Pelodiscus sinensis: one gene and its partner. The protein of the gene in region 1 interacts with the protein of each later gene in a biochemical or structural test. Links are inferred from orthologs where the notes say so. Each region holds a gene or a part of one and is shown in the gene's direction. Other genes may lie near its edges. The genes, in order: SLX4 and EME1.

Evidence for each region.
Region 2: the proteins of SLX4 (region 1) and EME1 form a complex in vitro, tested with the Homo sapiens proteins (3 studies listed by BioGRID, with this or other methods). The link is inferred for Pelodiscus sinensis from reciprocal best matches to the Homo sapiens genes SLX4 and EME1.

What each region holds. Positions count from the first base shown.
Region 1 is NC_134726.1:3,758,353-3,774,537, forward strand, and holds the start of SLX4 (structure-specific endonuclease subunit SLX4), read left to right. Parts: upstream 1-9,839; 5' UTR 9,840-9,985; intron 9,986-14,175; 5' UTR 14,176-14,572; coding exon 14,573-14,942; intron 14,943-16,185. Other genes in the region: TRAP1 (heat shock protein 75 kDa, mitochondrial), read left to right, coding at 448-586, 1,506-1,591, 3,355-3,500, 4,635-4,707, 5,222-5,323. UniProt on the Homo sapiens protein: Regulatory subunit that interacts with and increases the activity of different structure-specific endonucleases.
Region 2 is NC_134730.1:13,962,488-13,978,444, forward strand, and holds the start of EME1 (structure-specific endonuclease subunit EME1), read left to right. Parts: upstream 1-8,284; 5' UTR 8,285-8,558; coding exon 8,559-9,393; intron 9,394-9,473; coding exon 9,474-9,601; intron 9,602-12,928; coding exon 12,929-13,018; intron 13,019-13,442; coding exon 13,443-13,564; intron 13,565-13,854; coding exon 13,855-13,993; intron 13,994-15,178; coding exon 15,179-15,294; intron 15,295-15,957. Other genes in the region: MRPL27 (large ribosomal subunit protein bL27m), read right to left, coding at 1,071-1,277, 2,365-2,432, 3,185-3,307, 7,938-8,049. UniProt on the Homo sapiens protein: Non-catalytic subunit of the structure-specific, heterodimeric DNA endonuclease MUS81-EME1 which is involved in the maintenance of genome stability. In the complex, EME1 is required for DNA cleavage, participating in DNA recognition and bending.

The sequences.
Region 1 (16,185 bases):
ATGCAGTGCAGAGGATGCCACTTTGTAGAGCAAAATGGTGTCCTCCATGCACTAGCACCATACGTGTGAGGTTATGCAGTGCGTAGCAGAATGGCATCCTCCATGCCTTAGGGACAGCCCTGACCTCAGCTGCTGATGGTACGATCTGCTTCTGCAAGGGGAGGGGTTTGCACAGAGCTCAGCAGTGTCAGCCAGCAAACCACCATGGGTCCTTGAGGCGTGTTATGTGTGTCTGGGGAGCAGGGAGTTGGAGGAGCAACTTGAAGCTCACGAGGCCACTGAGGAGTCAGGAGGCCAGTGGCTGTAAAGGGAGGGGCAGTGCAGATCTGCAAGCATTCGTTCATGATGCTCTTGGGAAAGGGAAGAGGCAACTGTCCATGCAGCTCTGAGCTGCCGGCAGTCCTGTTCGTCCCTGGACTCCGCGTTGCTCACTGTCCTTTCCCACAGGTGCTGTTTTGCTATGAGCAGTTTGATGAGCTGACGCTCCTGCACCTCCGGGAGTTTGATAAGAAGAAGCTGATCTCAGTAGAGACTGACATCGTTGTTGACCACTATAAGGAAGAGAAGTTTGAGGAGAGCCACCCAGGTAGGGCATCTCTTCCCCCCCCATTACAGTTGGTGCATGGTCCTGGGCTCAGCATGTACATTCTCCAGCTCGGCAGCCAGATGGGGCCGAGTCTCCCACAGGTTAGCCAAGGTGGTAGCTAGTGAGAATACCCTAATTTCATGTCCTCCCTCAAGAAAGCATTAAGGCATGTGAGCAAAACGCTCTCTAGTTTGTATCCTGCCTCTGCAGTGCCGGCCTGGCCCTGACCTGGGCAGCTGTCTCCTTGTATAGTGGCTAAACTGCTGGTGGCCAATTATTGCAAGTTCCTTTCCTGTCACTTCCCCACCTTCTCTGAAGAAAGGGGGGAGGGATGCAGCTGCCCCTCCTAAATCAGTGCTGCCTGCCCACTCTGGGAGACTTTTAGCCAGCCTGCCCTGTCCTGTGATGCTATTTAGGTGGCTGAGGATTCATGAGGCCAGTGGCTGTAAAGCACAAAGGACTAAATGTAGGTCTCAATAACGACACTGAGACCCCTGAAGCAGGAGCGCTGTAGCAGAGCTGTAAATTCTTCTCTTTAAAACAAAAGAAATCTAACATTGCCCTGACTAGTAGGAGAGCAGGCCTTGTCTGCTATGGACAGGAGCCAAGCAGTTTTCTTGTTTAAAACAATTAAGTTCACTGGCTTCTCTGGTCTAACCTAGTTTTAAAGCCCACTTTATTGTAATAGCAGACATTGCTGATGCCAGAGGGTAGGGCTTGGGATGGAATAAACTTTCTCTCTTTGTGCATGGGGTGGTCTCTGGAATGATGCATGTGTATCGACCTAGTGCAATCTCTCTGTCTGTGGGAGAGCAGATGGGTATGTGACATGGACAAAGCTGCTTTTCAGGAACAAAGCACACAATCCCTAGTGCTGCCCCATGGCAGTACTGTGATGTAACCCATCCTATCCCCACAGCTGCAGAACGCCTGACGGAGAAAGAGGCTGAGGAGCTGATGGCCTGGATGAGAAATGCTTTGGGTTCTCGCATCACCAATGTTAAGGTACGTGTGCTGTAGTGTTCCAGGAGCTAAAGGTGGAAAAGACCTATATAGATCATAACCTCAGAAAAGAGGAAGTCTGGTAGGTGGTCAAGGCTCTGAACTAGGGCCCAGAAGATGTGGGTTCAGCCAAATTTGATCTTGGGCAAATCACTTGATTTCTCTGTGCTTCAATTTCCCCACCAGTTAAATGGATATAAATTGTTCTTCCTTTGTCTTGTCTAGTCAGACTGTAGGTGCCTTAGGGCATGGATGGTCTTTAACTGTTATGTGGAGCACCTGCCACAATGCGGCCTTCTCTTCAGCTGGGCCACTGGATCCCATAGTTGTATAAATAATAAGTCTACCCCCATTTCCCTTCTGCCAGGGCAAGATGTTAGGAGTGTATCTGATGGTCTCACGCTTCTCAAGGGATAAGGCTGGAGCTACATGACCCTTTCAGTAATATTCCTACATAAACCCAGCTCTTGTCTTTCCTCTGGTGTGTCAGTTTCAGCCTTGCTCCTTTGGACACTGTCCTCGGGTCTGTACACCCCAGGCTGGTTTGGCAACCGCAGGGCTAATGCAGACTGGCTGCCTGCTCAGCCTGAGCTGATAGGCAGCCCCATGGCAGCTGGGGTATTAAAGGGCTGTGTGGCAGGAGGGCTGCTAGCAAGGCAGAGGGACTGTAGAGAGAAGCTGGTGCTAACAAACTGAGAAGCTGAACATGAGGCTGGAAAGCCCACGGATAAGGAGCAGCAGCTCAGGGAACAATTAGGTTCTTGATACAGTTTAATTATGGCTACTCTGAACAAGGGCCCTGAGCTGGAGTCCAGTGGATTGGGTGGGCCTGGGTTCTTATGCCTCATACCCAGACTAAGGAGGGAGAGGGAAAATGGTCATGGCATGTTAGAGGCCAGAGGAGTGAGTCCAAGACCGCTGGACTTCGAGTTCTTTGTTTGGCCCTTTCCGCTAGCTATGAAAGGAGATCAACTGAGCAGGGACTTAGCTAGAGAGTTAGGTTGTATAAGATGACAGGCTCTGTTGACACTCCAAGAACTGGAGGGGTTATTAGACTGACAGGACCGTGGCAGCACAGCTCCTGGACACAGAGAGGCACTCCAGTGGCAAGGATATGCTCCTCCAGACACCAGTTCTTTGGCTTGGCTCAAAGGTGTGATTGTGGTTGAATTGTTCAGGTACACTAGGGCTACCAGGGAGCAGTTAGGGTGGTAGTGAGTACGTGGAATGGTCAGTAACATTTGGTGGGAGAATAATTCCTTGAATTCTCCCTCTGTAAGCATTGGACTGAACTGAGACAGAGCTTCATCTTCATCCTACACAGCCCTCTGGGTAGATCATCTGAATTGTTCTGCCTCCGTACAGTGAGGGATGGGACTAGCTTGAGGGCAGAGAGAGGATTCAGGGCAGCACTTTCCTGGTGTGGGGATGGATGCTACAGAAAACCCTCAGGTAGGCAGATACTGGACAGAGGCAGAACCTTCGGGTAGGTAGATAGTGGCAGAGGCAGAAATAGAGCCACGTCATCCAAGCTCCCCACCCTGTGCTCAGTGTGTCTCACATGTACCATTCAAGCCATGGGCTTTCACCCTCTTGTAGGCAGTTTCTTGGGTGTGGCTGTAAGTTCTCTCTGAGCTTTGTGTAGATTCTGCAACAAGGGGACATTCTCCTCCCTGCCGAAATCCAGCCTTTGAGCCCTTTACTTTCCCCTTCCTCTGAGCCATGTGCATTTCCCATCTTGTCCCTGTTTGCTGTTCCTCTGACAGGTGACTCCACGTCTGGACACCCATCCGGCCATGATCACTGTGCTTGAGATGGGGGCTGCCCGCCACTTTCTGCGCATGCAGCAGCTGGCCAAGACCAACGAGGAGCGTGCCCAGATCCTGCAGCCCACACTGGAAATAAACACTGGGTGAGATGGGGCAGAGCCAGAGCACTGCAGCTTGCAGGAGGTGCAGAGGCAGATATTGGCTGGCATAGCAAACTTGAACCAGCTGGGATCCTCCATTCTCTTCGCATGTGTGCTGGTGTGTCTTGGCCTATGGAGCTGTGCCTAGTAATGGATACATGCCCCTGCCAGCCCACATGATGTCCAGCCTCATGGGGGAGTTCCCTGGCAGCAGCCATCTGTGTTATCCATGCAGAAAGGGGAAGAAGCTCAACAGATACAGTAATGTACATAACATAATCCCAACTGTACATGTCAAATGATGGGGTGTAAAGTAGCTATTACCACTCGAGAAGGATCTTGGAGTCACTGTGGATAGTTCTCTGCAAACATCCACTCAATGTGCAGCAGCAGTCAAAAAAGCAAACAATGCTGAGAATCATTAAGAAAGAGATAGAGAATATCTCATTGCCTCTAAATAAATTCATGATACATCCACATCTTAAATACCATGTGCAGATGTGATTGCCCCATCTCAAAAAAGGTATTTTGGAATTAGAAAAGGTTCAGAAACGGGCAATAAAAAAGACTAGGGGTATGAAACAGCTTCTGTATGGAGAGATTGGGACTTTTAATCTTGGAAAAGAGACTAAGGAAAGATTTGATAGAGGTCTATAAAATCATGACTGCTGTGGAGAAAGTAAATTAGGACGTTTTGTTTACTTCTCAACACACGGACTGGGGGGCAACAAATGAAATTAAAAGGCAGCTTGTTTAACACAAACAAAAGAGAGTATTTCTTCAGACAGCTCAGTCAACCTGTGGAACTCCTTGCCAGAGGATATTGTGAAAGGCAAGACTTAGACCAGGGTTCAAGAAAGAACTAAATCAAGTCATGGAGGGTAGGTCAATCAATGGCTGTTGACAGGGAAGGTGTCCCCAGCCTCTTTCAGAAAGTGGGAATAGGTGATGGGACGGATCACTTGATGACTACTTGTTGTTTGTTCCTTCTGGGGCTCCTGACATTGGCCACTATTGGAAGACAGGATACTGAGCTACATGGATCTTTGGTCTGACCCAGTATGGCCGTTCTTATCGGGCTTTTTCACACATTCCAGGGGTACTGCAACCCTGTGCTGATTTCTCATTCCATTGCAGGCATGCACTGATCAAAAAACTCGATCAACTGAGGGTCAGCCAGCCTGACTTGGCCCAGCTGCTGCTTGATCAGGTGAGGGCCATGTTTGCACCATGCTCCCTGAGCAGGCTACCACATCTGTGGGCAGTAAGGGAGTGGACCAAGGCTGTCTTGTGGCCAACTGGAATCATGTACCCAGTGATCCCCACTCTCGGTATTTTTAGTACGCAGTGACCATTTCCCTAGAATGTTTTGGTGTCATCCAGGGATGGGTCTGTGTTGCTCATTCTGGCCTACTACAATTCGTGTCTGGTGCAGAGCTGAGAACGATGCTGTTTACACCAGAGTGGGCAGCACTAGTGGGGGGGGGGGGGAGGGAAGGAAAGGAAAGGAAAGGAAAGGAACCAAGCAGAAAGAATTCATAGGCAGTACCTGACATTTAAGATGGCTCTCTTGAAGTGTGGAGGGATGGTAATTGTGTCTGAAACTGAACAGGGCTCCAAATGGCACCTCACATTCATACACTCGGGGCATGGAGTGCTGGAGAGCCACCAAGGTGGCTCCTGTTGCTAACAACATCTCTTCTCTGTGCCTTTGTCTCGCTCAGATTTATGAGAATGCCATGATAGCAGCAGGACTGAATGATGACCCCAGACCTATGGTGAGCCGTCTAAATGAGCTCCTTACCAAAGCCCTGGAAAAACACTGATCCCCAAACTGATCGAAGGGGCAAGCTCTGTGCCAGGTATCAGCCGCAGTTCCTTCAAGCACAACTTCCACTGTCAGCTGATGGAACAGCCGTCTGGTCCCAGACTCCGTACAGTGAGACTAGAATCTCTGCAGGTCTGCGTGGCACATGAATGTGCTCCCAAGTTTCACTTTAGAGAGAGGTTCCAGTTGTAAGTACTGGGCTGTGTATTACCCTTCCGGAATGGCATCATCCAGCTGAGATCAAAACCAGGAGATTATCGCTAAAATGATTTGCCAGGATTTCTGAGGTTGGCTCCAAAGTTCTAATTTCATATTGATTCCAGAAACAGTCTTTCCCAATAGCAAAATTGACATCAGGAGTCCACACTAGCTCCATGAAACAGCCCCAGATACCCATTCAGGAATTTGCCCTTGTACACTGTGGGCTCAGAACACCAGCTTCGGCCGAGCAAAATGAGTTTGTCACAAAACTTCCACCCAGTGGTTAGCAGGCACCGGGATAGATGGTTGCCATTAACAAACATAGGTCGGAGTGGTGTGGCAGATAAGGTAGCTGAGCCACTGGATAACTGAACTCATCTCTGTATCTGGGGATATATTTGACAAGCTCACTTGGCATTTTGAACAGTTTTTCCAGGGTTTCTGCCTCCCTTGTGGTATAATTGGCATGCCCTAGGTAATCGCTGTTCTGCTTATTTATGTTAAATAAATTCTTCATTTAATGATACCTTCACCAGGGGAATTTGCCTTATTTTTCTCTGTTGTGCCCCAGCTCTGATAGCATGACAGTTCATATCCTTTCACACACTCCCCAATGCTGAGAGGCAGCAGCGTCCTAGAATGGTGGGGAAGAGCTCCTTCTGCCAGTGGTGTGGGGGATGGGGAAGGCCATATAGAAGGAATTGGAAGGGAAGTAGGAGGCGAGTCCCTGAGCTATGAACCCTAATTCTTGTCCTTAAGGTACTAAGAGCTAAACTCCAGGTTTTTAACATGTGCTAACTACCCAGCAGAAAGGGCCTGAGAGAGACAAGCTACCATGGTCCTCTGTTTTTCTGTTTCACCGGGCAGTTGAGCTCAGTGTACAAGATTTTTTTTAATAACCAGTAGCATTGCAAACTCAGTGTGGGCTCTTACTGGAGAGTTCAGGATGAATCAGAAATAAGATTCTATAAGTAGAACTTGGTTAATGATTCTGGTGCCATGTGAGCCAGCATAGAATCAGCTCTCTCCCAGAGATACTTGAGCTCAGCAGGTGAACACAAATAAGCAGTAAAAACTTGTCACTAAACCAGCATTTTGTGATGCTGACCAGACAAAATTGAAGAGTAATGTTGTCATTTTTTAAATACCATAAACTTACCTCAGCCTTTGGGAAGATCAGAAAGTAGAGCCTTTCACCTTTCCATCTCTAGGATTAACTCAGACTAGCATCGTCAATGTGTGAAGTCTGTTCAGTGTCTATATGGTGGATCATGAGCCAGCTCTGCTTAAGGTATATGTAGCATCTTGTTGCTGTTTAGTCATTTAAATAAATACCACCCAGTAAATTGGACTTACTTATGGTCTGCATTATACTGTATATAATACTAAGGTCATGTCTACAGTACATGGAAGATTGATACTGCTGCGGTTGATCTTCTGGGGTTCAATTTAGCTAGTGTCGTGAAGATGCACTAAATTGAACTCAGAGGGTGTTTCCCTCAGCACCAATAAGGTGGTGTGGCGGGTATCCCCTGATCCTGCACCTCTGTCCGCAGCAAGATGAGACTCCGCCAGCCAGTAGAATAGAGAGGGTTTATTGGTTCTCCAGGATACAGTACAGAATTGACGTCATATGGTTACAGGAGTCAGGGCCAGGCAGCCTTGGACCCCTTGGGATAGGGGTCCACTAGCCCCTCAACCCCCAGTATTCAGCTTAGTCTCTTCATGTTTTTCCAGCAAAGACTGCCCTTCTCCAAGCCACACCCTTCTGTTGTTCAGATCCCTTTCCTCATCAGGTGAGAACTGGTTGGACCATGAACTACATGAGGAGAGCCTCCAGGCGACCCCCCCCCCCCCCCACTGGGCAGTGCTTACAGATGCAGGCCAGTAGGGGTCACCTGCAGCCCCCACTGCAACCAGTGAATGCCCAACCAGAGTGGACCTACAACCACTAGAGTAAACAGCCCCCCACTACGTCACACCTGCTCCTAGTGAGGAGTATAATGGAAGTAGCCGGGAGCGTTTGCTGGCATCAACCTCCTGCTGTGTGGATGGCAATTTAAGATGCATCGACTCCAGCTATGTAACTAACATAGCTAGAGTTGTGTATCTTAGGTCATCCTTCTGCCCTAGTGTTGAGCGGGCCCAAGAGTATAAATGAGGCAGTTCAAATTCTGGGGTCAGGCAAAACCTAAGGCTACATCTACAGTGGCAGCTTCTTGCGCAAGAACTCTTTTGCGGAAGAGTTCTTGTGCAAAAAATCTTCCACAAGAGCGTGTCCACAATTCCATGTGCTTTTGCACAAGAGATGTGCTTTTGCGCAAGAGCATCCATGGCAGTGTGGACACTGATGGTCATTTTAACCATAGGGGCTTCTTTCACAAGAAATTCATGTTGCCTGTCTACACTGCCCTCTTGTGGATCAGCTCTTGTGGGCTAATTCCTCATGGGGAGAGGAATAACTCTTCAGGAAGAAGCCCTGTTTTACAACGCTATACTGTAAACTTACTTGTGCAAGAATGCTCCTGCAGTGTAGACAGCAGGCAAGTTTTTGCGCAAGATCAGCTGTTCTTAGGCTATGTCTACACTGGCAGCTTCTTGCCCAAGTGTTCATGTAATTAACGGGTAATAAATTAGGCTCTTAACCATCCTTTTTTCTGAGGCTGGTCAGCTGACCCACAGGTAGCACTAAGGAGTCAAATACATCCTTAACATAGGCAATGCCAAATAGTTATAGACGGTGAAATCCAGTTTGGAAGGATGTGTCTGAGACCCTGTGCTTTGGGACTTGGACAGAATCCCTTGAAGGTCTGGCTGGGACTTTGAGACTGGACCAGCTCAAAGTAGTTCCCTGGGCTACGTAACTGAGAACAGAGCTTTGTTCATCCAGACTTCCTGCTAAAACATTCAAGAGAGTGTCTTGGGTAGAGTCCAGCGTTGTGATTTACAGACAAACCACAGGCCAGGAATCTGCACTCTAAGCTCCTTCACCAGCAACTGTTTAAAACATTAAGGGAGGCTATTGTTTCCAAAAGCAGAGAACTCGGGAGCCATTAATAATACTTAGTAATTCTGTTTATGCTTTGCAAACACTAATTCTCCCATCTCCTTCGTGAAGTTAGTCATTACTGTCTATTTAACTAGTGGCAAAACTAGCACTGAGGGTAAATGAATTGTTCAAGGGCACACAGTGAATCTGAGCTAGGGCCTAGATCCCAGAAATCCTAAATACATTTCAATAAAAAAATGGAACCAAGTCATTTGAGATGTACAGCCATTGCCAGAGTTTCTAGCCCAGCAGCTCCGGAGCCTTTTCTCCCAAGAGAATTCCTGCCTGTTCTCTGGTTCAGCTTTAATGTTTGAAAACTGAGGCACCTTTCAGCTCTATCAACTGTGACAGGTTGGAACCCCCCTCCACACACACACCACGCTGCCATCTGATATGCTAGTTTCCGCTGCACCAGGTTGCTCTTAGACCCATCCAGCACACAAGCAGGCAAAAGCAGCCCCCACAGCAGGGGCTGGAGTAACCTTCAAGGCCACAGTAGGTCTGGGGCCAGAGCAGCCCTTGACATCTGAAGTCATGGCACAGCTGGGGCTGGAGCAGCCTGTCCTGCCACTGGGTGGGGCTGCTCCAGGGTTAACTCTGAAACCTAGCACTTAACTGGTTAACATTTTAAAAGTTAATTAACATCCCTGCATTCAGCAAAGCCACTCAGGACACAGTCCTGAAAGGCTCCTCCCTTCCATGGAAACCACAAGGAAGCTCACCTTTGTTTCAGTAAGCACAAGTACCATGGGTGTCGAAAAAAATCTCGGTCCTCCTAGGGTGGCCCCTATACAACGGAAACTTTGTGGTCCCCGGGATATTCCTGTGAGACTCCTTATTGCCAGATCACGGGGCTTAGCCAAGGGGAACGACGGATCTGTTGTCAGCACGCTGGTACCCGTGAACAGGGCGAGTTCCCTCTAAGGCTGTGGTGCTGGGGGCGCGCAGTAAGCACGGATTCCCCAGTGGATGGCAAAGCTAAGAGGGGCCATTGGAGCGCTCCTGCTGCCTCATTAAACTCCCCGCAGGAGCCGGGAGCTGTGACTGGAGAGCCGTTCCGCACTCGCCCGTCTGCGCGTGACCGTTTAACCGACAAAACGCTCGCGCGGGCCCAACCTGGCTGAGCCGTTAGCAGCCGGTCGAGCCGAGGTGCCTCCGGAGCACGCGCAGCAAGGGGAGGGGCCGCGCATGCGTACAGAACGAGGTTTGGGAGGTGGCCTTTGTGTAGCGATGATGGGGGTTTACGCATGCGCGAAGAAGCCAGACGACGGAAAGCGGCCCACGAATGCTACCCGCTAACGGCCGCCGTTTCTTCTACGCATGCGCCACAGATTCTGCGCGTGCCTTTTGGGCGGAATGTGCTGCCGCCCGGCTTAGTACCCAGGGGTGCGGAGCTGCCGCCCAGCAGAGGTCAGAGGGTCCGGGGGAGGCCGGGACGAGACGATGTAGCGGGGGGAAGATTCTCTGTTGCGTTGTCAGCGGCTGGCGCAACTTCTGGTTCCCATGGAGACGTTGTCAGGCAGCACTGCCGTGATGTCACAGTGCCCGCTGTGATGTCATAGTGCCATCGCTGTCACGTAGCACCGCTCGGCGGCTTTGGCGTGAGGGGCGATGGTGGGAAATGTGGCGCCCCCAGCAGTGCGGGTGGGAATCCCAGCCGGTCGCACCCCACAACCCTTCCCTCCCGGCCCGGGCCGGGTAACGAACCGTGCTAGACCAAGTCTCTGTCCAGCATCAGCCCGGGGATCCGTAGCTCGGGTCTAAGGCCAGTGGAAACGGCGCTGCGCCATTCAGCCTGGTGTTCCAGGGTTTTAAACAGTGGCAACACCTTGAAGAGGAGTTGTGGGGGGCACGTATGACAGCGTGGGATTTGGTGAACAGATCTCCTTAAAAGCACGCGCAAAGCCACTGCTAAATTAGCCACTTTTTAGTACACCGCTCTAAAATTGTTGGCTTGCAAAAGCCGTGCTTGGCAGTGCACGGTTAAAGTCTATCAAATAATTACTGGTGAAGAAAATGTAGGTCAGGCGTTTCTGTTCTCCCAGGCGTACAATTCAGGAACAAGGGGATATCTATGGAATTAAAACATTGGCACATTAACACAAAATTCACAGGTTTGCCAAAGAGGCCATAACATTAGCAACATTCAAAAAGAGATTGAACATTTATATGGCTAACAAAGACTGTCCAATAGATAATGGTAACCATGCCAAAATTTTGAAAGATGCAAACTTCATGTGTCTGTGCTCAAACCAACCTTGTTAACTATTAGGGTGAGGCTGTCATGGTGGCAGATCATCCCACAGCTTCATAATGAGGTGTTTATGCATCTTTCTCTGAAGCATCTGATACTAGCCATCATTAGGAGGGTGGAGATGGATGGCAGGAGAGAGATCGCTTGATCATTACCTGTTCGATTCACTCCCTCTGGGGCACCTGGCATTGGCCACTGTCGGCAGACAGAGTACTGGGCTGGATGGACCTTTGGTCTGACCCAGTATGGCCATTCTTATGTTAGAAACAGCACATCAGACTAGATCGATCGCAGATCCAGTCCAGTGTGGCAGTTCCTATATTCTGTAGCAGCAGTTCTCAAACTGTGAGTCCGGACTCCAAAATGGGTCTTGACCCAATTTTAATAGAGTCTCCAGGGCCAGCCTTAGGCTTGCTTGTACCTTAGGCTGAAGCTGAAACCTGAGCTCCACCCACACCTAGGGCAGCGTGGCTCCAGGGTGGTGGAGCTTAGGCTCTGGTCCCTTCTCTCTGTCCCCCTCTCCTCCTCCCTGGAATGGCAAGTCTCTGGCTGTGTTCTCTCCCCCCACACCTAGAGCGGTGGGGAGCAGGCTCTGTCCCTTTCTTCCACCTGAGTAACTCTGTTGTCAGAAAGGGATTGGGGTGCAGTGAAGTTTGATAACCCCTAGTCTATACTATTGTTCTGTGGATTGACTATTTCATTATCTAGCATGGCATCTATTCCTAGCATTATGTTCAGGAAAAGTTAAATTTATATTAGTTTAAAAAAAAAAGCCAAAACAATTTTGCTATGTAGGGCCTGCTTCTCCTATCAGAAATGCTGTTGACTTCATTAGAGTTAAACTGGTAAGAGAGAGGAATCAGGCCTTTTGTGCAGATTCTGTGTGTAACCAAGCTAGGCATAGATAATAAGCCCCATTAGCAATTTGCGGTAAAAATTAAAATGTGGGATTTTGTTAAAAATTGCATGGATTTTCCTTGAGCTATCGCAGCTCTCTCTTATCGTCACAGATATTTATAGCCGTCAGATTCGTAGTTACTTGTTTCACTCAGCTTTGTACTATTGCTTAACTGTAGCAGATGCAGGTTCACTCAGACCATATTACCTGGGGATGCAGCAGTTGCATTCTCTCTGCAGCATCTTCAAGGCAGCAAAGTGGAAATCTACCTTTCACTTCCAAGATCAGAAGGGATTAGATACCAAAAGAGCCGATCCTGGCTGGAAAAGCAAGGGATGTGGTGATTTAAGACAAAAGCTTTTGTCCTGTTATTGCGGACATTCACATGCTGAACTTTATTGTCAGCTCTGCCACTGGTCTCGTGGGTGACCATGGGCCAGTCACCTTCCCCCTCCCTTTCTGTCTCAGTTTCCCAATCTGTAAAATGGGGTTAATGATACTGACCTCTTTTGTAAAGTGTGTCAGGATCTACTGATGAAAAGCACTGTATAAGAGCTAGGTATTATTATTAGTTATCAGGTAGTTGAATTGACTGATGTATGGTCCATCTGTCCCTATGTCCTTACTTCCAACAGTGGCTTATGCAACATGCTTCAGAGGTTACGAACAGAACAGGGCAATAATAAAGCGATCCATCTCCTAGCATCCAGTCCCAACTTCTCTCAGACAGAGATTTAGTGGCACCTCTGACCATCTGAGCTAATGCATTCATGGACCTATCCTTCATCATCTTTTTCAATGAGTTCCACAGATAGTGTTAAGAAGTACTAACTCAGTGAAATTAAGGGCTCTCTGGTTCTTATGTTAGAAGAGGGGTAAATAACACTTCACTTTCTCCATACCATTAGTGATTTTATAAGCCTTTATCATATCCTGCTTTAGTCATCTCTTTTCTAAAATGAGCAGTACTCTTGGGTTTTTTTTGTTTGTTTGATTGTTTGGTTTGCTCTTCTCTCTTTTTTCAGATTTTAAGATATCTTTTTTGTGATGAGGTGACCAAAACTGCATTCTGTATTCAAGGTGTGGGCATATTATAGATTGATGTAGTGACGTTATATTTTCTTATTTATCTCTTTCCTAGTTATTCCTAACATTCTTTTGGCTTTTTTGATTGCCGTTGCACATTAAGATGTTTTTTGCAACCCCAGGGATGCAGAGAAGCCATGCCTTGTGAACAGTGTAGCAGTACAGTGAGTCTGCCATACTATGGTTACAAAGGATATTACTGTGATGAGCATGACATACAAGCCTATGTAGCACTGAACTGAGAGAGACTGCATGAGGGAAGGTCTGTGAGAGGCTCCTCAGGAAGGTCTGCTGTAGATCTGTGGGTTTCTCTCCAGCAGCAATGGGAAGTACTGAGGGCTGTAGGAAAGCTTATGGCTACAGTACTTGGGCTGGAAATATTCCAGGGGGTCTCTTTCTGCTGTGGGTTCCAGCACAAATACCAATTCTTTCCCCATGCTGTGTTTTGACTGGCGTGATTGAAAACTCTGCTTCCAAGCTTCCAGGTCCTCTGTAATAAGTCTTCAAGGGAGGGGAAGTAATATTTATGGTTCCAGCACAGCAGCACAGAGCCCTCCCTCTTCCTGGGATCTTTCTATAATTAGAAAACTAGTTACTTATGGAAAAAGAAACATTTAATTCCATTTTTGAGGAATGAAGTGCTTCCAACTTTCCCTCTATTTTGATCCTTCTCTTGAGACCTCCTTAAGTCTTTCAGGGACCATGTGCCACTGCTTTCTAGGTCTGCTGTTGAGTGAGGTAATGCATTCGTCCAGTCATGGCTGTGCTGCTTTTTTCGCAGTCCAAGCTCTGTCTGGCGCCAGACTGTTAACTCAGTCCAATTCTCCTGCACTTCAGTGTGAGGCACTGCAGCTGTATCATCAGTTCCTCATAGATCTCCAAAGCTGGAGTCCCCTCCTGCAACCCAAAGCTCTCAGCCCCACCCTGGAGCCCACACTCTAGTCACATTATGTTGGGTTGCGGGCATCAACAATTTTCTTCAAGATGAGGAAAAAAAAGTTTGAAAACCCCTGATATAAAATATGTGTGTGTGTGGTTTTAGTTCCACTCTGACATTCACTTCCAGATCCTATTATGTAAAAGAAAAACTCAGTCTCAGCCCATTCGTAAAGTAGGAAACATGCTGTTATGCATGTGATAGTGATGTTTAATGCCAGGAATCTTCTTTGAAATGTTTGTGCCTCCCCTCTTAGCATGTTCTGTGTCTGTGGGTAGTTCTCTGGTTGACAATACTTTGTGTCAATGATATGCCTTATCCAATCAGGGTTTTCCAGCACTGATCCTCAGAAGCTCCACCTAATTCCAGACTGTGCCTATACAAACCATTCTTCATTTACACCCTTGTTTATTTCTTTTGTTTAGATGTTATCATAAAGCTCCTTGCACGGCCTTCTAGCACATCATGAAGATCCTGAAGCGTCCTCTCTCCAGAGTGCATTCTCCATCTTTTATCCAACTCGTCAGAGCACAAGGAAGTCACCTGAATATGAATGATAACAAGTGGACTCCTTGAAGACTCTACAGGACTTAATGGCTAAGTTGGAAATAGAGAGGGTGAAATATTGGACCAGCCAGAAATGTGCCCACGTTGATCTTGTTGGAATCCAAAGTGTGCAGACTGCAGGGATGGTGCATAAGGCAAAATGATGACTAGGTCATCGCAGGAAGCAGACCTGCGCTGACCCTGCTGCCAAGTCCAGTACTCCCACATGCCCCATCACACTGAAGCCGAGCCGAGTGCTTTGAGGCTGGAAGCCTGATGGAGGAGTTGGACAATGATTTTAAAGAACTCTGTGCTAACCTCTTGAGCAGGGTGAAGAAAAAGGCTGGAGATGCTGAGGGAGGGAGGAAGGTTCAGAGCAGGACGAGGAGCACTGCCACAAAAAGCCAACTGAAAAAGAGCAAGTCAGCTGCTAAAAGCAAAAGCCAACCTGGGTCTTCTATTGGAAAGGGTGTGGGGTGTCCAGGGCCCACCACCCCCAATGGGCAGGCATTGGGGCATGAACCAGAAGGGGAAGCCACAGCGTGTGGAAATGCTGGGCCTCCATTGGGTGATGGAAATGGAGACCCTCCTTCTGTCACTCAGTTGCATGCAATGGCACCAAAGTGTAAGCAGAACAGCTTGGCAGGTAACTTGTCCAATCTCCTTCCTTCTCTCTGAAATATTTCTATGGAAAATACCCTGGGGCTGGAAGGGCTTTCATGTTCAGTGGAACATTTCTAAACTCCACCAGGTCGGGCCTACCAGGCAGTTAGGGTGGCATAGGGTGGCATTTTGCTCACTCATAGTACAGTAGAAAGCACTCCACTTGTTAGACTGACACCTCTGACTGTCCCTAGTCATTGTTCTTCAGCACATGCTGTCAGGTAGGCGAGGCCTCTCCAGCTGTCACATGAAGCACCGAGCTGGAAGGGTTCCCCAAAGCAGCCCAGGCTGCAGAGAGGTAGTTTTCATCCCACCCTGATAGATGTTCTGGCAATAGACTATGCAACAGCCTGAAGCAATGGCCAGACCAACATCACTGGGCCACAGACTCCCAGCCAACACTCTAGATCAGTGTTTCTTAAACTGAGGCAATCGGAAGTGTGCCATGGAGAACAACAGAGTTCAAAATGGCCACCCTTAAAGGAGCAGGCGATTTTTTTTTTCTCAACCAAAAATCCTTGCTGTTCCTCATACAAAAAAAAAATTGTTTGGTGTTTCTTGGTCTTAAGAAGTTTAAGAAACACTGCTCTAGATTCTGATTTCCAGCCTCTACCCATTATAGAGCCTGAGAGATCCTACTGCTCAGCATCTCTCAGGCCCCATCATTGGAATGGAAGTCAGAACTAGGGATGTAAAATCCCATTTAATCAGTTAATTGGTTAAATGTTATGTTTAACCAGTTAACCGCTTAAATAGGGGGAGGCAGGGGGCTGCTCTGGCCTGGCTGGAGCACTTCCTGCCTGCAGCGGGCCCCACCAGTCTGGAGCAGCCCCCTGCCTGCAGTGGGCAGGGGGCTGCTCCATTGCCTGCCAGTTCACTGTAACCAGTAAGAATCATCCTGTAAGGGTGATGCTAACCAGTTAACCATTCACATCCCTAGTCAGAACCTACATCACTGGTTGGAAGTCAGTTTGGCCCAGTGGATAGAGCATGGACTGGAATTCTGGAGATCTGGGGCCTATTTCCACCTCTGCAAGTGAGCTGCTGGATGACCTGAGCTGGACATGTCACTTCTCCATGCCTCAGTTTCCTCATCTGTGACATGAGATGGGGAAATATATTGATGACACTGAGTGCCTTTGTAAAGCACTTTGACACCTTCTGGTGGAAGTGCTATGTAAGAGCTAGGTGTGATTATTATTACAGGGTGAAACTCAGTAGGTGAG
Region 2 (15,957 bases), on another chromosome or scaffold:
TTATCCCTGTGTTACCAACTAGAAGATTTACCCAGCGTTGCTCAGTTCCTTAACTCAAATACTTTTTGTTTTTCTTCCTGTAAATCATTGGTTTGGGGGGCTCAGTATGCAGGCAGCTCCAGGGAGAGAGAACAACCCCAGCCCTGTCTCACCGCAGCAGCTTCCGGTCATGTGAGAAGCATCTCTCCATGGCTGCTGCAGCAGGCACAACAGGCGTAGGGGTGTTTACAAACTCTCTCAAATATAGAGTAGATAGCTGTTGCTTTCTCCACCCCTGCCTCTGTGGGATTATAGCTGTCCTGATGCCCATCTTTTGTCTGTTGCCGCCCCACTGTGGTCATTATATGAGCTAACTGTCCCTGCTATCAGATCCCTCCCTTTGTTTCTCATAAAACAGAGTCACATTACAGGCATATCCCATTGTCCTGGCACAACCAAACCCTGATCTTGCTTTAAATTATAAGAGGAAGTGGCATACCCATTTTGGTGGTCCTAGCTCTTACTGTTTAGAAGGAGTTCTTCAACAGACAGAAACTCTCAAATATATAATGAATCGGGAAACTGAGGCAGGGGCCCAATGCCACAGAATGAGCTGGTACCAAAGCTGGGATTAGAATTCAGATTCTATTCCTTTTTCAGAATTCCCAGTGTACATCAGATGCAGTCAGGACAGGAACTGTTCCAATGAATAGTGAGAAACAAAATGGCTGTGCCTGGAACTGGATAATTCCTGTGCAGAAAGTACAGTATTTCCAGTTGGACTGGAGCACAGCTATCCAGAAGGGAAAGGCAGATTCACTGAGCCTTTTTGTTTTTAAACTTATTCCACGAACACCATCACACTGTTAGAGAATCCCAGAACATTTATTTTATATATGCTTCAACAAACAGCATCGGGGCAGTCTGGACTACTTTGTAACTCTCAAATTTACATCCAGTGAGTTCTAGGAACCAGAAACTGGAGTTGCCAACAAGTCATTTCAGATCTAGAGGAGTCCTTCAGACTTCTTTCTGGTTGAGTGGCAGGTTTGTCATGGTGATCAGTCATTACTGTGTGGGGAAGCAGAGCCTCAGATCATGGTGACTAGCTTGAAGCTCCCCACTTCTTTGGTGGGGACAACGTTGATGAAGGTTTTGTAAAGCACTGCTGATTTGGGTAGGCAACAGATCACGTCCCTGGTCTCTTCGCTGCGGGGTGGTGGCACATAGACCTCCTTGGTGAATCGCACAATCCCATCCTCCAAAGCAAAGAGTGTCTTGTTACAACCTATCCCCACCTGGAAGAGAGGAGAAGTGTGCTGTTAGAAAGCGTTTAGGTCACTGTGCACCATTTAACAAAGTGGAACATGCCACTGGTCCAGCTAGTCTGGTGTTCTGGCTACAGCAATGTTCAGTACCTGATACTTCAAAAGAAGGCAAAAAGCACTGCACTCGGGGAACTGCCAACAATTCTACATGCTATGGGAAAAGATACATTATTCTAACCCTGAAGCATGAGAACTGATTAACGTCATGCTAGGGATGTAATAGTGCAGTCGAGTAACCAATAAGCAAAAACGTATAGGTTAATGCTATAAACTACATGCATTTCTCCTCTCCCCACCAGTAAGTTTTTTAGTAGGCTAGCCAGCAGCCAGGCTCAGTCCTGGCTTGCGACAGGTCTGGGACCTACCCCTGCTGTGGCTCTGCATTTAAAGTGTATTAGGAGCTGGGTGGACAGGCAGCTCGGCTCAGTCCTGGCTCATGCCGGGTCCAGGACCTATCCCTGCTGTGGCTCTGCAATTAAAATGTATTAGGAGCTGGGTGGGCAGGCAGGCCGGCTCAATTCCAGCTTGTGCCAGGTTTGGGAACTCAGACCTGCCCCCAGACAGGGGCTGCTGCCACCCCACGCTGCTGCCTCTTTATCAGAGGCAACAGCACAGGGCAATAGGCATCTGGTCCATGAAAGGAGCTGGCTTTTAAACTGGCTTCCCTCATGGACCATCACCTGCCTGCAGAGTGGCATGGGACTCCTCAGGAGTGAGGCAAGAGTGCACTGGCTGCTGGCCCCACCCCCAAGGACTATAGAATAGTCAACTAACCAGTAAGAATTCCTGAGGTTACTCAGCTATTCAATTAACCGTATTTAACATCCCCACTTCACATACAAATGTTGGTAACAGTCAAAACTCTCCAGTTGTTTACTAAATCTGACTCCTGCACTGATATGGTTTTGAATAAATGGTAAAACATGTCTGGTAATGAAACAGTGACTTTAAGGTTCTACAAAATGCAACGGAGGAAACAGAGAAGAGCCTTGACAGAGCTACGGCTGAATTCTGGATACTGCGATGCAGAGCTATAAAAGATGAAAAACTAACTCACGTGAGCCCCTGGATGCCAGCGTATCACCCGCTGGGTGGCCAATGTAGTGCCTGCATGAACAAAGGCACCTGCAACAGAGTTACATGGATTCAGATTACAAAAGAATAAGCTTCTCAATAGCCTGAGTTCTGGTAGAATGAGAACTCACAAAGCCAGCCGTGGTTGGGATTCCTAAGGAGGAATGATTCCAAACTCTAAAAACATTTTTAAAATGCTCCTATCAGAGAACACAGGGCACTTAATACACAATGGTGAAAAGCAGTTTTAACCTTTGAAAAGATTAGTTCGAGGGCACAAGGCATTTTCTATTTGCTGCAGGCATTTTTATTGCCTTTTACATCAGTTTTTTCCATCAGCAAACCCACCCTAATTGTTAGGCACTCAGATACAGGCATCTGTACTTTGGCTTCTACTAAGCCTCATAATTCTACTCTTTATAAATACTTGAAATGCCCAGCTTCTGAGCACAGGATGAGGGGAAAGGGCACAGGGTTTCCTCCTGGGGTGTGCTTCCACGCAGATTCCCCAGAGACAAGCTAAGTTAGAACCAGTGCCTGTTTCTTATTGGTAACTTCATTCCGCTGAACGTAGGCGGATCAGGGAATGAGCTCCTGCTGGCTACTCTCTCAATGGTGGTTATGTATGCAATGTTGTTGTAGCCAATAGTGGCTAAACCTTCGGGTTTCTCTCTCTTTAGTCACAAACAAACGCTCCCATCTGAGCTCTGAAACACATATAACAGTCCTGATAATGGGGTAACTTGTGGAGGGCACATTCCAGAGTTTGTCAAGCAGTTGGATAGACAGACAGACTGACCTACCTTCTGTCTTCTTATAGCCATAGCGTTTCCCAGGACTCTTGCCACCGAGATTTTTTGAGCTGCCTCCACTCTTCTTGCTTGCACATCGTACTGCAACTGCAGTCACCTGTGGAGCAGCCAAAACTGTATTTAAAGGAAGAAAAAAAATTAACAGTGAATTCAAAATGAGTACAAATTTACACTTCCTTTTAAATCAGAAAAAAATTCCTAATTCAAAATTCATGTAATTTCAAAACAAATGTTAAAGCCTAAATCAGGTAAAAAAAAAAAACCCCTCAGAATAAATGTATTATAAAGGTAATTCATATTTAGTCCATTGTCTCTCTCCTGCAAACAATCATGAAACACTTCAGAAAGCCTCCCAATACCTCAATGGAGTAGCAGAACTCTCAACAGTGTATATAAATGCAAACAATCTGCTATTAATTGTGGCCATGCACTTTAAATTTCTGAGCTACAGAAACAGTTACAGAAGAGTCAGTGTAGCCAACTGATATGAGCACGGCACTGGAATTCAGGACACTTGGGATTACCTTCCACTAACTCCGTGAACTTGAGACAAGTCACAAATATTGTGTGTCTTAGTTTTCTACCTGTGTGATGAGTATTAGTGTGGGCCTTAATGATTTAGTGTCTGTAAAAATGATTTAGTGTCTGTAAAATGCTTTAACAGCCCCAGTTAACTGTCTATAACAATTAACAGTTTTATCATCAAGACCCTGATAGTGAACAATACATAGCCATGTGGTTGCGGTCCTGAACGGGAACAAATTTCAGCACACACCCTACTATTCAAGGCCTGGGTTAAAAAAAAAAAGTGTGATAGTAACTGATTCATCTTTCTTTTCTTGGAGTATGTCACTCTTTTACATCACAAAGTTCTTCCATTAAAAATCAAATACACCAAATCCACTGTCAATAAATACTCAAGAAAGTCTGACCTGTCTGTGAATTCCACTTCATAAGTTTGGATATAGTTAGTTCTTTTTCATATAGTCTTTTTGCCTTTTATCTAAATCCTTCTATTCAGCTTAGAGCAGTGTTTCTTAAACTATGTTCCACAGAACACTGGTGTTCCATGAACAACTTACAGGTGTGCCATGACCTCTTCTTTGTTTTTGTCTTTTTTTGTTTGACAACAATTTTTTTAAAGAAAATTTTCATAGATGTTCCGCTTAAAAAAATATTATTGTTTGGTGTTCCATGGTCTCAAAAAGTTTAAGAAACACTGGTTTAGAGTGTTGCTAAACAGTGGTTACTACAAGGCTGTGTCTACATTGGCACCCTTTTCTGGAAAAGGGATACTAATGAGACACTTCGGAATTGTAAATGCCGCGGGGGATTTAAATATCCCCCGCGGCATTCGCATGAACATGGCTGCCGCTTTTTTCCAGCTCGGGGTTTTGCCGGAGAAAAGTGCCAGTCTAGATGGGATCTTGCGGAAAATAAACGCTTTTCCGGAAGATCCCTTATTCCTACTTTCAAGTTTATTTTCCGCAAGATCCCATCTAGACTGGCGCTTTTCTCCGGCAAAACCCCGAGCTGGAAAAAAGCGGCAGCCATGTTCATGCGAATGCCGCGGGGGATATTTAAATCCCCCGCAGCATTTGCAATTACGAAGTGTCTCATTAGCATCCCTTTTCCGGAAAAGGGTGCCAATGTAGACACAGCCCAAGAGTCTCATTTTCTTATTCAAAGAAAGGCAATGGATTCATTTTATCTTTATTAAATTATCTCAGATACTTAAATAAAGATTTGGAGGATGTCTTTATAAAGGACATTTTATTATACATGTTTAGAATACAACAAATAAAAGAAAGTGGTTGTGACGGAATGAGGCAGGGAAGTAATGGGATTTTCAGAGCTCCTAGCAAAGTATTTTTACTAGACTGGGATTAAATGTAATCTGTAGCTAAGTAACTATCTTTGTTTGATCGGTAATGTAATTATTTTATATTTTAAATCATGTTATGCGTCGGTATAGTACCTCATGTGAGGACATCAAAGAACTTTACCAATATCAGTTAAAGCACATACCATCAAATATAGTAGGAAGTTTACCTATCTATAAAAGATAAATACTTAAGGCTCAAAGCTCAAAGTACTTGCTCAAAGTCTCATTATGAACTGGTGACAGAATTCCAAAGTTCTGAGCCCCTCCCAGAGAATGCCCTGTGAGCAGCTCTCTGTTGTTGTTTTATTAGGAAAGGACTTTATGCATGAGCACCACTGCTGATTGTAAAGGCAGCAGCACAGCACAGAGAGAGTGGCAGTCTCTCAAATGAGCAGATGCCAAGCTATTTATATCTAGTTTGTTTCATGTCAGTCAAAACCAGCCTCTTAAACTCCACATGAATACCATACAGCCACTTCATTTGCCCCAGCCTTGGCCTGCCTGGATAGTAACAGCTGTAAAGATACCATGGAACATTATGAAAAATTCAGGGACTCGAGCGAATGATTTGTAGGTTAGAAATACATGTGATATTTCCTGTGTAAAACAAAGCCAGGCTCTTTGCTTTAAAAATTTTCCAGTTCAATACACCATTTCTTTCCTTCAAGTCCCTGTTTTGCTCCACTCTAGACCAACACCTATTCATTAGGGATGTGAAAGTGTAGCCATGTACATATTAAATGCAAGCTCCGGTTCGCATGTGCACACTGGCTCCTGGGGAGCCACCTGTAACCCCCGCAACGTATTGCTGCCTTTTGCATTTTTAACATCCCTACCATTAACCCAGAACAGTTCCCCTTCTGCAGTATCTGATGGAGACTCCCCTAGGTGGCTTATCTACTAAGTAGCTGTTCTTCAAACCACAGCAGATGGCTGTTTTGTTGTATATGGATGTAAAATGATGAACTGAAAATTTACAGGGTTTGGGGGGAGAGGGAGGTCTTGCAACAAAAATGTGGTTTTAGAAGCCTGCTCATATAGGCAGGGCTCGACAAATAATGCAATCTACTTGCCCGTGGCGAGTAGATTGCAACCCAGAAGAGCCAGATTCGGGCGATCTGCGCATGCACACATCACCGGACAGCATGGCTGGTGAGGGGGGCTCGCTGCGGTTCGGTGAGCCCTGCATATAGGGATGTAATAGTGTAGTCGATTAACCAAATGCTATAAACTACACGCATCGTTTCCAACCCCCCCTTGCCAATACATTTTTTGGCAGGATGGCCAACAGCCCAGCTCAGTCCCAGGTTGCGCCGGAGCTGGGACCTACCCCTGCGGCAGCTCTGCCTTTAAAAGCCATTAGGAGCCAAGCGGGCAGGCAGCCTAGCTCAGTTCCAGCTCACGCTGGGTCCAGCAGCTCAGAACTCTCTCTGAACAGGGGCTGCTGCCACCCTGCACTGCTGCCTCTCTATCAGAGGCAGCAGTGTAGGGTGACAGGAAGCCCAGTCCACAAGGGGAGCTGTTTTTTAAACTGTTTCTACTCACAGACCTGCTCCCGCCCAGCACCCCAGAGGCAGCAGTGCAGAGTGGCAGGGGGCTCCTTTGGAGTGGGTCCAGAGCGTACTGACTGCTAGGCCTGCCCTCACGGACTACAGAATAGTCGAATAACTGATAAGAATTAATGAGGTTAATCGACTATTCAATTAACCGATATTTAACATCCCTATGTTCAAAAGCTTTAAGATCAACCACTAGTCTACAACCGAGTCTGTTACTGAACAATGAAGCAGCTGAAGCACCACTGACACCTCCTAATCTTATGGAATTTCCCTCCTGTATCCACCAGCCAGTATGTATGAGCGACAATTCCTTGCTGGCCACTCCAAAGAAGTGGTGGTGAAATTTAAACTGCTGCTCAAACAAGAGAGAGCCCTGCAACTCAATGGTCCCCACCTCCTCAAATCTTAACAGGGAGCTTCCATTGGAGAGAAACAGAGATTAGGAAGTGGGCATATTTTGGGTGGCAGAGAGGGGAAGGAGCAACAGACTTTTTTTAAAAAAAAATTAGAACTCAGATTTTCCTTCTTGGGCACAAAGACTTGCAACAAACCCATACTAGTTCATCAGTTAAAAATAAAAAGATAAACCTGACCAGGCGCAGAAGTATTCCCTACCACACACTGCTCAACAGGCCAACAAGTATAAAACCAGAGTAACTCCACTGAGTGAAGATGTAACAGATGCCTGCCTACCTCCCAGGTCAGATCTTATATACCTTGGGCCAGCTCTACACTCAGGTAGACAGCTGTAAGCAGCAGAGTAACCTCACTGTCTCATAGCATGGGCAAATATGCATGGCATATAGATTTTAATGTCCCAGATGTGGCAGAACTGTATATTTTTATTAGTACTATTAGTATATCTGATTACTCTAACTTCACGTGCTGTGCTAGGGACGCAGGAGTGCTAAGCATGATACAGAACCCTAGACAGATTACCCAACAGGCAAAAAGCAGGTAGCTAAAGGAGGGAGGGAAGGAAAGGGGGTAATGGATCACTTAATAACACCTACTCCTTCTATAATGCTTTTCATTCACTGATTTCAAAGTGCTTTAAAAAGTATCTATAGGCTCACGTACAACCTCGAGGGAACACATCAGGTACCCAGACCACCACGACCTCTTTGTGCCACCCTCGCTGAGATCACCCCTGGTTTGGTCCAGGACGTTCAATGGTCCCAACACCACTGACGGGTGGGAGGCGCCTGGGTGTAGGCAGCCTCCCCTCCCCGTTAGGCTGTAACCGCTACAGGCCGGCGGTGCAAACCGATGGCACCACCCCGCTCCTTCGGGTACTTACAGGCCATAGGCCAGTCACCGGGCTCGTGGCCTTCCACACCCCCCGCTGGGGGGGCGCACTGGGGGAAAGGGCTACTTCCTTCTCCCTTCCCCCTCACCCGGGCTGCACTCATCGCCCTTTCCCCAACCCCTCATCCATCGCCCCCTCCCCTCTGACACTCACGCAGCCTAGTCACCGCCACCAAGCCCCCAACGCGCCCGAGCCCTGCCACCGCCATTTTCCTCACTGTCACTTCCGCTTCCGGTGCGGCTGCTTCCGCCTCCGGCACAGGATTTCCGGTCAGGAGCGAGAGGCGGCGGCAGTTTGAATACGCCGAAGGGGGAGGCGCCTGCGTTCCCTCCGTTGCCGGGGGGGGGGGCTGTGAGGTTGGCGCGCGCGGGGCTCGCCGGCGCTCCCTCAGCGGAGCCCCGCGCGCCCGCGGCCGCCCCGGGGAACCCGCCCCGCCGGCCGCGCGTCGGCTCGTGTCCCCGGCGCACGAGAGCGGGTCCCCTCTCTGGGGCGCGGCAGAGCGAGGCTGTTCCGGGGGCTTAGGGAGCGGCCAGGAGGCGCACGGGGCCGGTCTGCAGCCGCGCCTCGGGGCTCTGCTGCCCGTTGCTCTTCAGGCGCCACTGACGGGCCGCCATGTCCCTGGAGTCGGACGAGAGCGAGGCCGAGGACCTGCTGCCAAAGTTCACTTTCCTAAAGCAACAGCATCCTGCCGTCGAAAGCAGCCGCTGCCGCCGCAGCCAGAGCCAGCCTCCTTCCAAGGAGCGGGTTGTGGTGCTCTGCAGCTCTGACTCTGAGGAATCCTCTGCTCCTTCGCCAGGGTGGAGAACACTCCAGGATTCGGACAGAGCTAGCTCTTGTAAGGGTGTGACGGCCAGGCTAGGCAGTGAAAGCGAGGAGGAAGAGGAGATCATACCCCTGTCTGAAAGACTGAGGGGGAAATTGGGGAACAGCAAGTCCTCCAAAACTAGCATTTTGCTTTCTGAGGCTCAGCAGCTGAGTAGCTGTGATGCGGTGTGTAAAGCTAAAAGTACTGTTCTCCGTCATTGCAATGAACGAGGGGTGACTCATTGCAGAGAACAGTTGCTGCCCAAGGCCTCTGATACCCAGACAAGAGCCCCTGTCTTATCATGGGAAATGTCAGATTGTGACCAAGATGATGCCACAAAAGATTCCGAGACGGTGCCTTTGCACCAGTCTCCATTTCATCTGTCACACTCTCCAGTCCAGGATAGACGGTCTCTGGTGGCAGAGGCAAGTTCAGAAATGTCCCCTCAGCAGAAGAAGTTAAAACACAGCCAGGAAGAGAGAGACAGAGCTCGTAGGGCTGTGTTGCAGAGGAGGAGAGAGCGGGAAGCCCAGAAGGAACAGCAGGAGCAGGAGCGAGAGCGGAAGAAGGCTCTTGCCAACATGCTGAAGGCCCAACGACCAGAGGAGTGCCTGAAGCATATAACAGTGGTGCTGGATCCAGGTACCATTCCTTATCTCTTCTTTCAACCTTAAATTAATGCAGCCCTTATTGTAGGCCTTTGACCTTTACACCCATCTTAGTTCTCTTACAGGTGGAAGGAGGTGGACAAGTCCTCAGTGCTGTGCAGTCCATGAACTGTGGCTGTGTGATTGAGAGTCAGGCTGTTCCCTATAGCATCACATGGAGGAGGAGGGCTAGGTCATCTCAGGTAGGGGACCACAACGTCCAAAGTTCTCACCCTTTTTCTTCCTCTGTGTTTAGCACATGGGGTTGTGTTGCTTGGTGATCAGATGTTACTGGTGGTAGCTTTGTGCTGTCCATGAGCTACCAAGATAATCTTAAAATGAGACTGACTTCTCTTTGGTCTTTCTCTTGCATGTGAAATGTCATTTCTCACTTGTTTTCACTATCTCCTCTTCTCTGTACTATGTAACCAAACACTCCAAGACTGCCATTCTCATCTCTTTCCCAGTAACTCTGGCTCCTTTCTTCTCAGGCTTCCTGTGAGCCACCTGTATCATTTCTGGAGGAAGATTTAGATTTTCCCTTCATTTCCTCTGCTGGAGTGCTGCTCCCAGATGTATCTTTCTTTGTTTCTTATCTCTCTCTCTCTCTCTCTCTCTCTCTCAAGCTTTGGCATTATTTCTAGCAAGATAACACCCATTTCCACATTGATTTGACACACGCTGTCATACTGCTTGCTATGTCTCTCTCTGGGTATGTCTACACTACAATGTTAGTTCGAACTAACGGACGTTAGTTCGAACTAACATTCATAGGCGCTACACTAGCGCTCCGCTAGTTCGAATTTAAATCGAACTAGCGGAGCGCTTAGTTCGAACTAGGAAAACCTCATTTTACGAGGATTAAGCCTAGTTTGAACTTACTAGTTCGAATTAAGGGGTGTGTAGCCCCTTAATTCGAACTAGTGGGAGGCTAGCCCTCCCCAGGTTTCCCTGGTGGCCACTCTGGCCAACACCAGGGAAACTCTATTGCCCCCCTCCCGGCCCCGGACCCCTTAAAGGGGCACGGGCTGGCTACGGTGCCCGTGCCAGGTGCAAGCCTGCCAGCACCCAGCCAGCAGACCCTGCACCTGGCACGGCACAGAGCCACCCACCCGATGTCCCCCAGCCCACCCCCTCTTCCCGGGACCAGGCTGGCGGCTCCTGGGAGCTTGCCCGGGACCGCAAGAGGCGGGCACCTTCCTGGGCTAGTGCAGACATCGTGGACCTTGTCCACGAACTCCGCACTAGGCACAGGAAAGTGGCCGTCTAGGGCAGGAGAGCTGCCAGCCTGGCCACCCAGGAGCAGGTGTGCATGAAAATCAAGGGGGTCCACTGAGACCCCCGACCCTGAGCCCTGAGCTTACAATGGCCGTACTGGGTCAGACCAAAGGTCCATCTAGCCCAGTAGCCTGTCTGCCGACAGCGGCCAACCCTAGGGACCCTGGAGGGGATGGACCGAAGACAGTGACCAAGCCATTTGTCTTGTGCCATCCCTCTCCAGCCTTCCACAAACTTTGGGCAGGGACACCACTCCTACCCCCTGGCTAATACCACTCCATGGACCCAACCTCCATCACTTTATCTCACTTCTCTTTAAACTCTGTTGTAGTTCTAGCCTTCACAGCCTCCTGCAGCAAGGAGTTCCACAGGTTAACTATTGGCTTTGTCAAGAACAACAACTTTCTCTTACTAGTTTGAAGCCTGCTACCCATTCCTTTCCTTTGGTGTCCTCTAGTCCTTCTTTATGGGAACTCAGGAAGAACTTTTCTGAATGCACCCTCTCCACCCAACCCCTGCTTTTAGAGACCTCTATCCTGTCCCCGCTCCATCTCCTCTTTTCTAAGCTGAACAGTCCCAGTCTCTGTAGCCTCTCTTCATCTGGGACCTGTTCCCAACCCCCGATCATGTTAGTTGCCCTCTCCTCTCCCAGCCTTTCTCTTCCCCTCTCCCACCTCCTTTTCCCAGTCTCCCCCAGTTTTGTTCAATAAAGACAGAATCAATGTTGGAAGAAACGTTATCTTTATTTTGTACATCAGGAAGGGGGGCTAGGGAAGGGTAAGTGGAAGGGGGTGAGGGAGGAATGGGGTACGAGCCCCCCGATGGGGAGGACTGGGCTGGCTCTGCGGGCTTCTGGGGGTGGAAGCTCTCCTGCAGCCCCCCAATTGCCCCCTCTCCCCAGATGGCAGCCTGCAGCAAGTGCAGCCGGGCTGATGGCCGAGTGCTGTGATGTTCCCAGTGTGGGCACTCCGGCACTCCAAGCCAGGACTGGTTTTCAAGCGGGGCACCCCTGAGAACTGTCTGTCCGGGGTGGGGATCGGGTCCCTTTAAGCGCAGCCCTCGGCTAGCCTGAGACAGCATCTCCACGCTCTAAGTCCTCCTCTGATGCCCTGCCGGCACTGCTTCCGGCCATCCTTAAGCCCTGTTCAGGGTCCACTCAATGTGGACATGCTAGTTCGAATTAGCAAAATGCTAATTCGAACTAGTTTTTAGTTCTAGACGCGTTAGTTCGAATTAGCTTAGTTCGAATTAACTAATTCGAACTAAGTTAGTTCGAACTAACTCTGTAGTGTAGACATACCCTCAGCTCCTGGTTGTCCCCTAATTTCCTACCGTTAAATGCTTCAGAAATTAGTCTTCCTCCTGAGTTAAAATGTCCTTGGTGATTTCAGAATCATGGAATAAACCTGGACCATAAGTCCTGGCTGTGAGGGCAAAAATCTTGGAATGCTTTCTTAATCTGAAAATTTTTTTTCCTCTCCGCTAAAATAGTGCCAGTTTGTCTTGGGCCTAACTCCTCTCAAATGCCTACCTGCACATTTATTCCCCTTCTGGACTATTCTAAATATTTCCTATAGTATTATTTTTTAAACCTCAGTTATGCTCTTGCCAGACCCCTTTTCCTCTCAGAAGTGGAACCATTACATCCACATCCTCTGTATTACCTTTGCTGACTTCTTATCTATCTTTGAATCCAATTTTAAACTCCTTTGTTTGCATTCAAAATTATCAATAGACATTCCTCCACAATACTTCTGATCTTGTGCCCATCTACTTCTGCAATTGCTCGCTCACTCTTGGCCTTATACCTCCTCAGAAGGGTAGTTGATGTTCACTTTAATCTGTAATAGTGACTCTCTGTAAAGCAGATTGACATTATCTATTAATGTTTTATAAACACAATTCATTGTCCATATCTTTGACCCCTCTTTCTGCTGAGCTCTTTTAATATTCTCCACTTTGGGGTCACATTTCTTTGATCCCTATGACCACTCTGGTCTCTTGTTGTTCCCAGACTTTTGCATGCTCTCTCTCAACTTATTGATAAACTGATGCCACATGCACTATAAAACTCATCATCAGTCTTAGTAACTGTCCTCCTGCCTCCTTTTAGCAATCAACTCAAGGGAGGTGGACCATTAACAAGCTCTCACGTTGAAATGTTTCATGTGTGGCTAAAACCCTGGATGTAAGTGAAGCTGGGATCAGTTTCACTGATATCTTAAATCCAGTGTGTGTTCAACACTGGGCAGGTCGAAGAAGGCAGCTGGATAGAAGAACCCAATATCCTGGTTCTGCTTTGCCTGGATGATTTTTTATCCATGATCTACAGCTACAGACAGGTGAGATTGCTCATGACTACTGTGTGCTGTCCAAATGTGCATTACTTATTTTTCTTTTTACATAAGTTTCTTTTGGAGGTTTAGGGCAGTACAAATTTTCCTGTTTTAAAACTCTATGAATGTCCAGTGTTGTCAAGCCTTCTGAACCTGCGAGATGGAAATCGCCCTTCTTGTCCCCCCCCCCCGGACCATTGCTGCTGTATTGAAAGGAGGCCAGGGATGTGCAGAAATTTCTCTGCATGTTGCAGGGTTTGACTTAACTGCAGTACTGGAACCTGAAATTCCAGTTCTACAACTGGATATGAGTGAGCAAACCCTTACATCTGCACAGATCCAGGAATGGGGGCTGAAGCTACTCTTTGCTAGTGCTGGCCTGTGTGGGTTAAAGTGGGTTTAAATACTATTTTTTTGGCTGTCTTTGCAGGAAATCCAGGGTGGCAAAGAAGGACCAAAAGAGACCTTACGGAGCTTTGTAGCTTGTGTCCTAGAGAGAGCTCCTGGCAAAACTCTAGCACTGGCTGTAGTTGAACTAGAAAAATACTTCAGGTTAGAATTCTTCAGAGGTTTCAATGCTGTTTCTTATGGGATAAGTGTTGGTAATGACCATAGATGTTCTGCATCATCACTTGTATTTCCTACTGGCAGAGGCTGAAACATGAAAAATAGCAGTAACATCCTCTGTAACTAGTCTTCCTTCTCTGTTTCATACAGCATCTCCTCCAGGGGATGGCTGGTAACTGAGCTCCCCAGCGACTGCACTTGTGCACCAGTCCTATAGTGCCTTCTGCTAGCATCATAGGAGACGTGGACTCCTGAGCTATTCTTTTTCTTCTCAGATCTCACAAAGTTCAGTCCCGGAAGAAGGTGCGGCAGGCAGTGCTGAATGGAAGCCAAGCAGAAGGACAAGGGAAACGAAAAAAACAGAAGGGAAAGGGGGACTCTCGCCCTGAGCTGTCGAGAGTGGAAGTGGAAGAAGTGGGTAAAATTGGAGCATTTTTCTCCTTTCCTTGCTCTCAGCAATTTAGAATGCCCATTCTGATGTGCTTCATGCATACATTTGTGGGTCAGCCTCAGTTCTCTACCATAACCAAAGAGCAACTGACTTGAACATATCTAATAGAAATAGGATACACCCAGGGATTCTGATTCTAGTAAGAATCCAGGAACTTGGTTTTGTGTGTCTGAATGCATTCTCTTGCACTCTTCTTGTTGCTAGGGAGGCAGCTTGAATCAGATGGAGCTATTCAGCTGCTAGAGGACTCTAATGCTGCACATCCATCCCTCCTCTCTGGAAACCAGAGTGTCTTCCCTATGTCAGTTTCAGATATCATTCCCTTAATGTAAATCTTTGATGCAACGCTCATTGTTCTTTACAGCCCAGTGGATAACCGTTACCAGAGTGTGCAATGGACACTGGCTGGAGTAAATGGTGCAGAACAGGGTCCTCGCTAAGGAAATGTTAATCTGCTAAAATAGTTTAATCTGGAATACAGTATGCCTAATTTTTCTATAGAGCAACTATTGCAACCTAAGCTAGTGGGTGGGCCTCATGAGTGGCCCTTCATCTCAGTGAGCCACAAGATTTTCATAACCAGGATTGTTTCTTGGGATAGGGTAGTTTTGCTAATTGTGCTTGCCTACCTAGAATTTTTGGGGTGTGCCAAATGAACCATAGCAACATTTTGATTGGGTGCACACCCTTTGCATCCCATTTGTCAGTGTTGCACTTTGTGTGCCCTTGCTTTGTGTGTTTTGCTTTAAAAATACCGGTTGGGAAAAAATCAATGCAGATGGAAATCAGCATAATCTGGCAACTGTGCGCATTGGTAACAGTAAACTAAATGTCTCACAGGCCACACGTAGAACCCTAAGGGGCCACATGTGGCCATCGGGCTGCAGGTTGCCCATCACTGCTATAGAGCAACTCGAGGCAATAAATACAACACTCCAAACTGTTAATCTTTTAGGCTGTGTCTACACACTGAGTTTTTTTGGCAGAAAATATGCTAATGTGGTTGTTTTCAGAGGCTTCTTGCGTTCATTTCTCCTCCCAAAATATCCCCTAAATCTTTGCCTTAAGCAAAAATGCTAGGGATTGGACTTTGGTGGTGGGGCAGGATGAGTCAACTCACTCACTCTTGGGCTCTGTCATGTCTACAGGCATTGGTGGATCTGCAGCTTCACACAGGAGTCCAGGTTAGAATCCTTGAGAGTTGGAAGGAGTTTGGAGACTTTGCCGGTATGTTCACCAAAGCTGTGGCTGAAGCACCATTCAAGTGAGTGGGATTTATTTTGTAAGCTAAGTTACTTTTGGGGATAGCTTCAGGAGAGGCCTCCTTTCCATGAATATTGGAGGGGAACAGTAGTCATGCAACCTTATTTCAGTGCTACACAGTATAGTACATTCTTCACTGCAAAAAAAGGAGAGGGGTGTTCTGAACTTGGGCTAAAATAGCAGGGAAGACAAAATGATTCTGTTTTAACTTGGGTAAGCAATGTAAATTAAAGCTTCCAGGACAGCCAGGGGTTGAACTTGAATTGCAAACCTGAGTTGCAGTCTTTTCATTGCTACTTAAACTTGAGTTAAGAACACATGTTTTTGACAGTGAAGAAACAGCCTCAAAGGCCGGGCAGTAATTAACAGCCATAGATTAGGTGCCTTAAAGCAACTAATGCTTGTGTCTCTTGCACTGAAACCGCTGGTGCATTAGGCTACAAGCCTAAGAGTTGGTTTCACTTGCTATAGCACCCACTTCTATGCTTCACCCTGAAAATATTTGTGTTTGAGAGATGTCACTGCAGCAGAATCCCCATTTAGTAGATGATCACAATAAGACACTCTGTAATTATGTTCTTATAGGTCATTTCCCAACAATGAAACCTCGTACTAGCATACTCATCACAGCAGCTTCAGTGTTTGTCTCTCAGTAACATCCATG